Linked DNA regions of Solanum lycopersicum. The protein of the gene in region 3 interacts with the protein of the main gene of each other region in a pairwise test. Links are inferred from orthologs where the notes say so. Each region holds a gene or a part of one and is shown on either strand. Other genes may lie near its edges.

Evidence for each region.
Region 1: the proteins of PHYA (region 3) and protein SUPPRESSOR OF PHYA-105 1-like interact in a two-hybrid assay, tested with the Arabidopsis thaliana proteins (2 studies listed by BioGRID, with this or other methods). The link is inferred for Solanum lycopersicum from reciprocal best matches to the Arabidopsis thaliana genes PHYA and SPA1.
Region 2: the proteins of PHYA (region 3) and uncharacterized protein interact in a two-hybrid assay, tested with the Arabidopsis thaliana proteins (3 studies listed by BioGRID). The link is inferred for Solanum lycopersicum from reciprocal best matches to the Arabidopsis thaliana genes PHYA and AT2G37680.

The regions. Positions count from the first base shown.
Region 1 is NC_090809.1:4,267,038-4,271,096, reverse strand, and holds the start of protein SUPPRESSOR OF PHYA-105 1-like, read right to left. Parts: upstream 2,808-4,059; 5' UTR 2,473-2,807; intron 1,242-2,472; 5' UTR 1,172-1,241; coding exon 1-1,171. UniProt on the Arabidopsis thaliana protein: Controls normal photoperiodic flowering and regulates circadian rhythms. Required for suppression of photomorphogenesis in dark-grown seedlings and for normal elongation growth of adult plants.
Region 2 is NC_090809.1:63,431,233-63,435,228, reverse strand, and holds the start of uncharacterized protein, read left to right. Parts: upstream 1-1,189; 5' UTR 1,190-1,309; coding exon 1,310-1,358; intron 1,359-2,565; coding exon 2,566-2,621; intron 2,622-3,299; coding exon 3,300-3,443; intron 3,444-3,996.
Region 3 is NC_090809.1:25,834,631-25,838,692, forward strand, and holds the start of PHYA (Phytochrome A), read left to right. Parts: upstream 1-1,246; 5' UTR 1,247-1,525; intron 1,526-1,692; 5' UTR 1,693-1,792; exon of another isoform or gene 1,793-2,027; intron 2,028-2,518; exon of another isoform or gene 2,519-2,540; 5' UTR 2,541-2,552; coding exon 2,553-4,062. UniProt on the Arabidopsis thaliana protein: Regulatory photoreceptor which exists in two forms that are reversibly interconvertible by light: the Pr form that absorbs maximally in the red region of the spectrum and the Pfr form that absorbs maximally in the far-red region.

The sequences.
Region 1 (4,059 bases), about 22 Mb from region 3:
GCTGTCTAATCAAGCCCACGTCCACATTGACCTTCTGTAGCTTTATACCCAAGTTACTATTAGCATGCATTTCCATGTCGGATGGCCTTTTCCCATTAGTATTCCGGCTCACAGCATACATGGAGTCTATCTGGACAGATGAACCAATATATTTAACACCATTAGGTGACAGTAAAATGAAACAGGAAGGCCGTATATCCTGGAATGCATTTCCTTCAGAGTGAGCAATATCAATTAACTTCACAATCTGCCGGAATATGTGAATCCTCTCAGCTTTGTTTATCTGTGATCCCGTCGAGTTTAACCACTCTCTCAAGGTAAATCCATTGTAAGTTGAAGTGGGTCTTTGGTGATCGCTACGACTGAAAGATGCTTGATTAGAATTAGCACCTTGCTTTAAAAAAACATCAGATGATACCATTCCTGTGGAGGCTTGCTCGAAGTCATTCTTATTCTGCAGAGTAGAGGCAATATGAACTTCTTTATGAAGTGCAGGTCCTTTTGGTAAAACATCTTTGGTTTTAAGAGATCGGTTAGCAAAAAAATGAGAAAAGCTAGAAGTGGATAAAAGTTTTGATTGACTACTTCCCGGAAGTAATCTATTTCTTGGAATAATTAGGTTATGGTCTTCTGTTGATTGGGAAGACTCTGCATTAGAGCCTCCTTTGATATCTTTGTCGGATGCTTGCTTCAGCATTTTCAGCGCAAGTAAATTTATTCTTGGCAACTCCTTGGAACTTAATTGCTGAACAGCCTTGTCCGTGGATGAAGGATCTCCATCTCCCTTCAAACTTCTAGAGCCAGACCCCAATTGATAGAAACGTTGCCACTGAATTTGTGGTTTCTGAATGGTTTTTTGACTATTGGAGCATCTAAGAGAAGCTGGCTCAGAAATTTTGTAACTACACAACTTTTCAAGAGTGAGCCTTGAACTATTCAATGAGTAAGAGCTTGTACCGTGGAGCTGAGGCCCCTTCATGGACGTTACATTTCTGTTCATTCCATCACTCTCCAACATCCCTGAACTGGCAGAAGTTGATCCCTCTGGCAACTCATGACTGGTAGATGTACACTTCCCCATTGATGGTTCACCAGAATCACACTCCCTCGTTCTAGATAGCACATTCGCACCTACATCATTTGCATCTGCTTCCTCCTTTGACTTGTCCATATCATTCCAAAGGACTCTTTCAATTAAATAACCAGCTGCATTCACCTATGTTTACCCCTTGAAGGACTAGCTGAAATAAAACAAAGTACTTTGTAGTTAGACAGATTTCTACGTCTTTAACTTCGTTTTTTTATACTAAGCATGTGGAATTTCGAGGTACTAAGGAAGAAGGGAGTAAAAAAATCTCTCAAAATCTTTCCTCCTTCACCTAGTCAAGTTGGTCGAAGCACGTCTTCCAGAACTAAGATTTACAACAAAATACTCAATGTGATCCGACAAGTGGTGTCTAGCGGAGGGTGGGGTGTACACAACCTTACTCCTATATTCTGAAGATAGGGAGATTGTTTCTAATAGACCTTCGGCTCAAGTAAAGCATATAAATAACAAATATGCAAAGTAAATACAGTATTGAACATATCAATAATAGCACTACCAAAGAAGAGAGAGAAAAATATCATATGTTCATAATAAAGAACTATCCTAGCTTCGATTACTTAGACTTTCTATGAATGCTCATGTATTAAAAGTAAATCCACAACACATTCAGGGTACTCATACTACACTTCTGCCCCCTATAGATTGCAGTTGAGTTATCGCCGTTGATTTAGAGTCGTGCGGAGCAGCTCGGAGTTTCAGAGATTAGGGTGAGCTCCTGGCGTCTAGAGCTACCGGTTTCCATATGTTTTGCTAGGCTTAGTCTTTATATTGTATTCAGAGATTAGTCTGTACTTGTCTTGTATTTGTGAAAGCCTTGTACTCCTATTTTGGATTAGATGCTCAACTAACTGATGGCAGGACTTGGGATGGTTCCTGTATTGTTTTTGTTGATTATCCTTTCTCTACTTTGTTCTAAGCTCTTACTTCTTGTTGTTGGCTTCCACTTGCTAGTCGCCTAGTCCATTGCTTATCGCTTCGGGCTAAGGGTTAAGCTTACTTACTGGTGCAGTGTAGTAGGTGCCATCATGACCCGAGAACATTGGATCGTGACAGTTTGTGGGGTCTGGAGATCGCGTAGGATGTAGGCAAGTTACCCTTACCTAGGAGGCTATTTCATAACCACAACCTAACAAACATAATTGATAAAAGGGATAAAAGTAATCATAGATTTTCATTTCAGCATGAAACCAAAATCAAGAATAACGCAATTATGATATAATCACAGTTTGGGAAAAACAAACTCAATAAGGTGAAAACACTATAACCAAACAAAGAAATCCAAGACTTAAAAACAAACTAAAAAAAGTTCAATTTTTTTTACCAAATCTTAAATCACAGACACATAAAGAAATCAAAAGACTAACCTGAAACTGAAATGGGGAAAAAAGGGTAGTCTCTCCAAGAATCTGTCTAGCTCACTCATCACTATTCAAGATTCTGAAAAAAAAAACAATACTTTTCATTTGTTCAACACCCCAACTGTGCAATTATTTGTGCATTAATTTACTCTATAGATATGATGATTTATGAATCAGTCAGTCACCCCACTTGGAAAAAAAAAATTGTTTTCGCCAAATGATGTCTGTGAAAAGTGGAGCAATTCAGATATTGTTTTCGCCGGAATTGTGCTTTGTTAAAGGGCTGTTTGGCCATTAATTTATAAAATTTGAAAAAAAAGAAAAAACAAAACCTCTTATGAAAGTGATTCATTTACTTCTCTGTGCTTATATACCTTTATCCTCTAACGAAATAAAAAAAAATATGTTATTTTTTTATTTTAAAAAAAAATTGTTCATCTAGTGGTATATTTTACTTTTAATACGTATTTTTTTTTGTTGACAAAATGGAGTTGTTCTGATGATAAGTAATCCTCACTTTCAATACGAAGATTGCGAGTTCGTATTTTTTTAAACTTTTATATTCAGAAAATAATTTGCATTTTATTATTCTGATAGTTAAACTTATTTTTTATTTTTCACGATTATTTTATAAATTTATTATAGATACCCAAAAAAAATCCCAAACACAAACTAAACTACCATATATCCATAAAAATAGTTTTAAATTACAATTACCCGCAAAACTTGGTAGGCGTTTGGGGCGCTTTAGCCATGTGTTTTCATCACATGGCAGTGTTTTCGGACACGTAATTTTATGCTGATTTTATTTTATGATTTAGTAAAATGAAATCTCTAATTTCTTAAAAGTCATAATTTTTAGGAATTTTAAATAAAAATATTAATTCGCGAGTTTTTATTTTGTAAAAATAACTCACATTTATTTTATACCCATTTGTTTCATCTGTAAACAAAATTTCTAATTCATATCATTATTTTTTAAACCTTTTATATCTCATATACAAATTATTCTCGTCAATACAAATTTATTCTTCAAAACAATTCTTAATTTAACGTTTATGTTCCCCAAATCATTATTTTTTAATCAAATTTATTACTACTTCATTCAAATCAATGTTTAATAATAACAAATAATCACCATTATATTGAGTGGATAAGACTAACCATGCTGGGATTAATTGTAAAAAAAATTTTCTTAGCTACTAACAATTTGAACACTATAATTTATGTTCAATTTTATTTTTTGTTGAATTAAGGTTTAATAAATAAATATTGTTCTTCTTTAAGAATAATTTTGTAATAATGTATTACGCGATTTTATAAGTTTTGTTTATTTGGTAAGATTATATAAATAATTGGGGATAATTTTTTATACTTTTACTATTTACGGAGTTTTTATATTTATGAGAAAACATAAAACATAAAAAGTCAAAATTGTATGTCCTAACAAAATTTCAACTTCATCTCATAATTTCATATAATGATTTCAAATCATGAATTTATATGGTATGACCAAATGGGCCTTTAAAATCATGATTTTGAAATTTCAAATCATGATTTGAGATTTTCGAAATACCAAAATTGACCATGAGT
Region 2 (3,996 bases), about 38 Mb from region 3:
CCATTAGGTATTATATGTTAAATTATCATAAAATGATTGATAAATAAAAGTACTTAATAAATCAAATTGGACTTTAAAGTAAATTTTGAAATATAAATGTTTTTTTTTTCATTTTAATCAATTTGGTATGACTAATCAATAATCAACTTCTTTTTAGTGTAATGTAATGTAACCATCAATAAGCAAATCTATTATCATTTCTTCAATTCATTTATCTTGACTTTAAATTAAGAGCCTGTTTAGCTCAGCTTAAAAACTGGTCAAACTGATTTAAAAGTTGGTTTTTGACTTATTTAGCTGTTTGGCAATACTCAAAACAACTTATTTTAAGTTAAAAAAAACTTATTTTAAGCCAAAAGTTAAAAGCTGGGGTAGGGATGTTTTTTTTTCCTAGCTTATAAGCTGTTTTAAGTTGACCACATTTTTACTTTTTTGCCCTTAATATTTTTATACAATCTCCAAATTACCTACATAACCCTAACATCTCTTTCTTCTATTTTTCCCTTTTCACGTGTGAATGATAGACAATTACTATTACTAATGAATGAAAATAAAATAAATCTTAAATCTTTCAAGTGATCTATTCAAATTATATATTATTAAAATGTAAAATAAGTTGCACATATAACTTAAATAAAAATTTATATTCCTCTTATAAATAATTTGTGATAATAAAGAAATATGTGAATGATAAACAATTATTATTACCTATGGATGAAACTAAAATAAAATTGTAAATCGTTCTTTAATCTATTCAAATTATATATCTTTAAAATCTATAATAAGTTTATATTCCTCTTATAAATAATTTGTGATGAGAAAGAAATATGTGAATGATAGCAAAATATAATTATTTATGGCTATAAAATATAAATTAATTAATTTTTATTATGTTAACAGCTTTTAAGGATATTTCAGACATTTTGATTTAAAAAGCTGTTTATCAACATTTATTTGCCAAACACATCAACAACTTTTTTTTTTTAACTTCAGCACTTTTATCCAAACGCATAACTGCTTATTTTAAAAATAAATTTTAGCACTTTCAAAAGTAGTTTTTTAAAGCTGCTTTTATTAAGCTCATCCAAACGGGCCCTAAATATATGCAACCTAAAAAAGTTGAATAAAAAATTAAAATTATAAAAAAAATATTCTTTTTTAAAAGGAATTAAAAAAGGACAAACAAAATATATTGCCAAAAAATCAAATAAAATCAACAACAGTTTTTTTTATATAGTTATTTTCTGAAAAAATAAATTTCTATGAAAAATAGACCCAGTTCTCAATTCTCAGTAGAGGCGAAAGCAAAATGCCTGTGAGAGTTGTGGAGACTTCTTCTGCACTTTCGCAGCCTTCAGGTAATGAATTTGCTATTAATTTATCATTTTTTGATTGAAATTATCTTTATTTTTAATCGAAGTTGCAATTTTGATTATGGATGTAGAAACTGGGTTTAGTTTTATCAGTGCAATGCGGGTTTATTTGTTTCTTGTTTTTACATTGAGAATCAGATAAAGTTAGCATTTTTCTCTATTTGAAGTTTCATTTGAAAAGATCTGGGCTGGTCACTTTGCTCAATTTGGTGGTTTAAGTGAAATTTGAATTGGGTTTCTTCAATTTATGATTATAGTATGTTTAATTATCATTGTGTTTGTATGTAGTTTTCTTGAGCTGAATGTCTATCAGAAATAAAGGTCTGGTACAGACTACTCTCCTCACACTCACTCGTGGGATTACAGTGGATATGATGTTGTTGTTTGTGGTGGTGGTGGTGTTAGTATGTAGTTTTTATGAGATGAGTGTCTATTGGAAATAAAGGTATGGGAGACACTATCCTCCCCAGACTCACTCGTGGGAGTGTAAAATAAAGGGCTGGTACATGCTACCCTACCCAAACCCACTTGTGGGATTACACTGGGTATGTTGTTTTTGTTTTTGTTGGTGTTAGTATGTAGTTTTCTTGAGCTGAACGTCTATCGAAAATAAAGTTCTGGTACACACTATGCTCCCTAGACCCACTCGTGGGATCACACTGAGTATGTTGTTATTGGTGGTGGAGGTGGTGGTGGTGTTAGTATGTAGTGTTGCTAAAGTTTTGTACTTTTTGGTGTCAAATTATGTGATTTGTGTCTGCTGAGTAGTAAGTAGCTGTTGCAAGACTGAAATGCTTGTTTTCTTTCAACTGCAAAAGTGGAACTTCAGGAAATTACAGTGGGCATGTTGCTTATTGTTGTTGTTATTATTGTGGTGTTAGTATGTAGTGTTGCTAAATTTTTGTAATTTTTGGTGTCAAATTATCTGTGAATTGTATTTCTGAGCAGTAAGTAGTTGTTGCACGACCGAAATGCTCGTTTTTGCACGACTGAAATGCTCGTTTTCTTTCAACTGCAAATGTTGAACTTCTGGAAATTACATTGGGTATGTTGTTGTAATTAATATTAGTGGTGTTTGTAAGTTGTGTTGCTAAAGTTTTGTACTTTTTGGTGTCAAATTATGTGATTTGTATTTCCGAGTAGTAAGTAGTTGTTGAACGACTGAAATGCTTGTTTTCTTCCAACTGCAAAGGTGGAACTTCAGGAAATACTTTGCCTTCAGTCTGTACACTTCTAAGTGTTGGACAGGTGAGCTTCTGCTTTTTTAATTTTTTCCGACTGCTCCTGTTGTTTCTATCTTTTTTTTTTTCGTCCTTCAACAATGGAATTATGATTCTTTCTATATTCTTGCGAATTTAATACCAGAGAAGAATCTGAGCTCCCCTATACCTGATTTTGAAAATTTTGTTCTTTTGCTGCTTGTATCATATCCAAATTGTATAAGATGAGAATGATCAGAATGTTGCTGCCTAACCTCTTGGTAGACTGAGAGTAGTCGTGTTTGCTTTGATTGAAATCTAACTTCAGTAAGCATCAAGGAGCTTCAACTTCCCTTTTTTTTTAAGCTTGTTTGAGACCCTAGAAAAGTAATTTAGTAGCCTACACACCTTGTTCTTTCCCTAGCTGCAAAAACCCTGAGGTGAGGCCATGTATGCTATTTTAAAAGTCACCTTCCACCAAAGCTTTATGGCCTATGGGCGTCCATCTGATAGGTTCATTGATCAGCCGCTGCAAGGGGGCATTCTTCTCACTCTAACGTTTTGGCAAATTGTGGAAAGGGCATTATGGTGGTTCAATCCTTCCTTTTGATTGTACCTTTTGGCTATTAATTTAGCCGTGAAGCATTACAACTTACAGTTTATGGTTGTTCAGCTTGTCACACAAGTGTGAAGTTTCATCTTTTCTCACTGCATTGCTTTGTTCCAGGCATTTTCTGGAACTCAGAACGTTTCGAGTCAGCAAAAAGATGAAGCTTGGAGAGTAAATGTGCGTATTCAGGGTTGTGACCTTGATCATGGATATCTATGTGGTACAATGGAAGCTCTTAATGTCCCTATGGCAGATACACCAGTAAGAAGCCTTTATTTTTACTTAAAGAGCATTATATCTCTTTTCCATTTTCTTCCTCATTAAATTTCTCTGTTACATAAATACGTAGCTTCAATATAGAATAAAGAATAGGCATCTCTTGAAGGCTTAACCTTTTGGCTTTGCTTGTATGAAGCTACACCGGTGGTAACATGTTGCTTGAAATGTCATTGATGAACAAAGAGGGTCTTAATCTAACTGGTCTAATTTTTCTTCTATGATTCCAAGTGGTGTTGAGGTAACATGTTTTATTCGACAGTTCCTATACTTTTTGCTGCTTCATCCAGGACAATTCAAAAATCATTACCCATGCTTTATGCCAACAATCTAAATAATATATCTGAGAGTTTCTAGTTGAAGCAAACGTCCTATATATTGTTATCTGCTGTAGATGCTCTAGCAGAAAAAATATCTGTTGCTCGGGCTTCCAAAAATATGCCATAACCGCGTCGGATTCTCGAAAAATGCACTACTTTTGGAATATCTTACACGCACCCGACATTTTTGAAGAGTTTGAACAACATAGGAAAATAAG
Region 3 (4,062 bases):
CTTATTGGTAAACATTGTACGGTGAGATTCTTGATAATCATTAGACTTTTTGTGAGATTATTGATTACTTTGAGATTCTTGCAAGTGATTTTTGAAGATTAATCAAGCAAACTTTTGGATTTTACTCTTTCTCATTGAAGTAAGTATATGAATTCTTATCTACTAGATTTGAATATTGTGTTTATGGCTATGAGTAACTAAACTCCATAACTAGGGTTGTGGGAACCATAGGCAAATAATGAGATAAACCCTAACTAAAATAACAATTCTAGAATAGTGTCTTGCATGTATTAATAATTCTTTCTATTAGAAGTCCTTTTAACGAATGGCCAACGTTAGAACTCGCCTTAATGCTACTTGCCGGACAAAGGAGGTAGATAATAGGAAAAGAATTATTAACATAGATTTAGTGTATACAATCTAATAGGCTAGTATTGATTGGTACGAGGTAATAACTTAGTCAAATATCGAATACGATGCTTAATATGAGGTAAGGATAAGGGTTAGGATAGCAACACACGTAGCCGGACCAAGGTGCGGAGTGAGATTTTTTAGATGCCGGACCAAGGATTTAGAAATACATAACTTATTACTTTGCATGCAAGATACTAGAAAAGAATTGTTATAGTTAGAATTATCAAGTTATGAACTTGTGGGAACACGTAAATCCTAGTTACTTTGATTAATTGATTAAAATCCAACATTCAAAGTTGTTAAGTGTCTCTGTCAAGTTTGTTAATTAATTTTACTCATTTAGAAATAGAAACCCCCCTTTATTGTTTTTACTTTCCAAGGAAGTCATTGACCAAACAATAGTAATAACAGGTTGAAGTTAAGTCTAGACTATTTTCCTCGTGGGAACGATCCCAACCTCACTAGTTAGGTTATTTACTTGACACGACCGCTTTACTTCTTATTTGAGAAGTAAGTTTGAGCGTATCAATGGCGTAAAAATAAAAAAAAATGAAATATTTCTCATATACAACTTTTTGACGGCAAAGGTTTGGGGAGTGTGTAAAAAGTTCTTAAAAATTAAATTTAAAATATTTTTCAAAAGCAATTTCTTTTGATGCGGGTTAAGGGTTAGATAACGTAAAAATATCTTATATGATAAACTTTTATTTGAAAAGTACATTATTTTCTTTAAATTAAAAAAATAAATTAATTAAAAACATTTTTAAAAACATTTAAGCAACAAAAGACTTTCAAAGTGTAATTGTTGGGCAAGAAAAGGGGAAAAGAGTAGTCAAAGAAGGTTGTAGAACAAAGAAAAGATGAGTTCAATTTCGTTAGAATGTTTTGATGATTTTACATAGAGAAGTTTATTCAAAGTATGTTAGGTAAATGTTGGAGAGTGAAACACCAAAAACTGTTGTGATTATTATATGAATGAAAATGTAGATCCATATTTTGCAGTATCAGCTCTTAATTCTCTCATATTCTGACACCCTTTTCTCCCTTGAAAAGATAAGAGGATGATGTCTTCACGTGATGTCCATAACTTCCTGTTAACTTGTTATTCGAGGTATGGCCTCTCTCTTTAAAATCTTGTTAAACGATTGACATCACAGTCCTTCTACAACTATTATTATTATATTTATATTTACACCCACTCAAGAATTATTATATATTATCTCTACTTGGGGTTTGATTTTTTTTTTAATTCAAAAAATTTTATCTTTTTTTATACAGAGCTGCACGACAAATGAAGATTGAAGGTTATGCTAATTTTGGGATGACACCAAATAACTATGTTTGGAAAGGAAACAATGGAGCAACTCACTTGTTTCTAGTAAACTCTCTCTCACTCTCTATTTATTGAGATTTGTAAACATACTGTGTATATGAGCTTTGACCTGTGTGTTTTTAATGCTATCGATAAATCTTTAAGAGAAATCCAAGTTGTGGTCCATTTTTTGGGAATTTCAGACCTACCAGTTTATTATTTGCTTCAGATTCAGATCAACTATAACAACAATTCACCTGAAACCTATTATTTTGTTGTTGTCTCTCAAAGCTTGTGAAAGGTAATTTCTTTCACTGATTATTTTTCTTCTGCAAATTCAACTTTTAAGGATATACTATATAGGTTGTGATTAGGTTGTTAATCCAGCTAAAACAAACTACTAGCTTACTGTGTACTATGCATATGTGTCTGCATCATCTAGTTTCTTTTGTTATATAGTTAGTTATCTAGTGCTAATTTGTGGATCCGGAATTACCTGACTTACTCAGTTAAACTCTTTTTAGATTTTCTTTTAAACATATCATCCCTCCTGGTGAAGTGGGGTGAGATTGGGAGTGGATGGAAAATGTTAAGCTGCAAATAGTGATTTGATGTTTCATATTGATGAAAGGTAGAGGCTTTACGATAAATCATCCATGTGTTTGTTCTAGTTCAACTATTGTTGATATAAAAAAGTTAAAACTTCTGTTATTATGACTTTGAGAGTGGCGGATGTTTACAGTTCCTATTTCAACTTTGTAGCTTCAATGTATAATATTAATCCTGTAGTAGTTATTTTGTATGTTCTATTTAGATTTGAGTCGAGATGTCGTCTTCAAGACCTAGCCAATCTTCCACCACTTCATCAAGATCAAAGCACAGTGCTAGGATCGTTGCACAGACCTCTATAGATGCAAAGCTGCATGCAGACTTTGAGGAGTCAGGTGATTCCTTTGACTATTCAAGCTCAGTGAGGGTTACAAGTGTCGCTGGAGATGAGGAAAAACCAAAGTCAGACAAAGTTACCACCGCCTACCTTCATCAGATCCAAAAGGGCAAGTTTATCCAGCCATTTGGTTGTCTGTTAGCCCTGGATGAGAAAACATTAAAGGTCATAGCATTCAGTGAGAATGCCCCTGAAATGCTGACCATGGTTAGCCATGCTGTTCCAAGTGTTGGTGAGCATCCAGTTCTTGGCATCGGGACTGATATCAGAACGATCTTCACTGGTCCTAGTGGCGCAGCATTGCAGAAAGCCTTGGGGTTTGGGGAGGTTTCTCTGTTAAATCCTGTCCTTGTTCACTGTAAAAATTCTGGAAAGCCATTTTATGCAATTGTTCATAGGGTTACAGGTAGCTTAATCCTTGATTTTGAGCCTGTGAAGCCCTATGAAGTACCCATGACTGCTGCAGGGGCCCTGCAGTCATATAAACTAGCAGCCAAAGCCATTACTCGCTTGCAGTCCTTGCCCAGTGGCAGTATGGAAAGACTCTGTGACACAATGGTTCAGGAGGTTTTTGAACTCACAGGTTATGACAGGGTGATGGGATATAAGTTTCACGAGGATGATCATGGAGAGGTGGTGTCTGAGATCACAAAGCCTGGCCTCGAGCCTTACCTTGGTTTACATTATCCTGCTACAGATATTCCACAGGCTGCACGGTTTTTGTTTATGAAGAATAAGGTCCGAATGATTTGTGATTGCCGAGCAAAGCATGTGAAGGTAGTCCAAGATGAGAAGCTTCCATTTGATTTAACATTGTGCGGCTCTACTCTTAGGGCCCCTCACTACTGCCATTTACAGTATATGGAGAACATGAATTCAATTGCATCACTTGTAATGGCAGTTGTGGTCAATGACGGGGATGAAGAAGGAGAAAGCTCTGATTCTTCACAATCTCAAAAAAGAAAAAGGCTATGGGGCCTGGTTGTTTGCCACAACACGACCCCAAGGTTCGTTCCCTTTCCACTGAGGTATGCATGTGAGTTTCTTGCACAAGTCTTTGCCATACACGTCAACAAGGAACTGGAATTGGAAAATCAATTCCTTGAGAAAAATATTCTGCGTACTCAGACTCTCTTGTGTGATATGCTGATGCGAGATGCTCCCCTAGGTATCGTGTCACAGAGCCCCAACATTATGGATCTTGTCAAATGTGATGGTGCGGCTTTGCTCTATAAGAATAAGATACATCGATTAGGAATGAACCCAAGTGACTTTCAGCTGCAGGATATAGTATCATGGCTTTGTGAGTATCATACAGATTCCACAGGCTTGAGTACGGATAGCTTGTATGATGCTGGTTTTCCTGGGGCTCTTGCTCTTGGTGATGCAG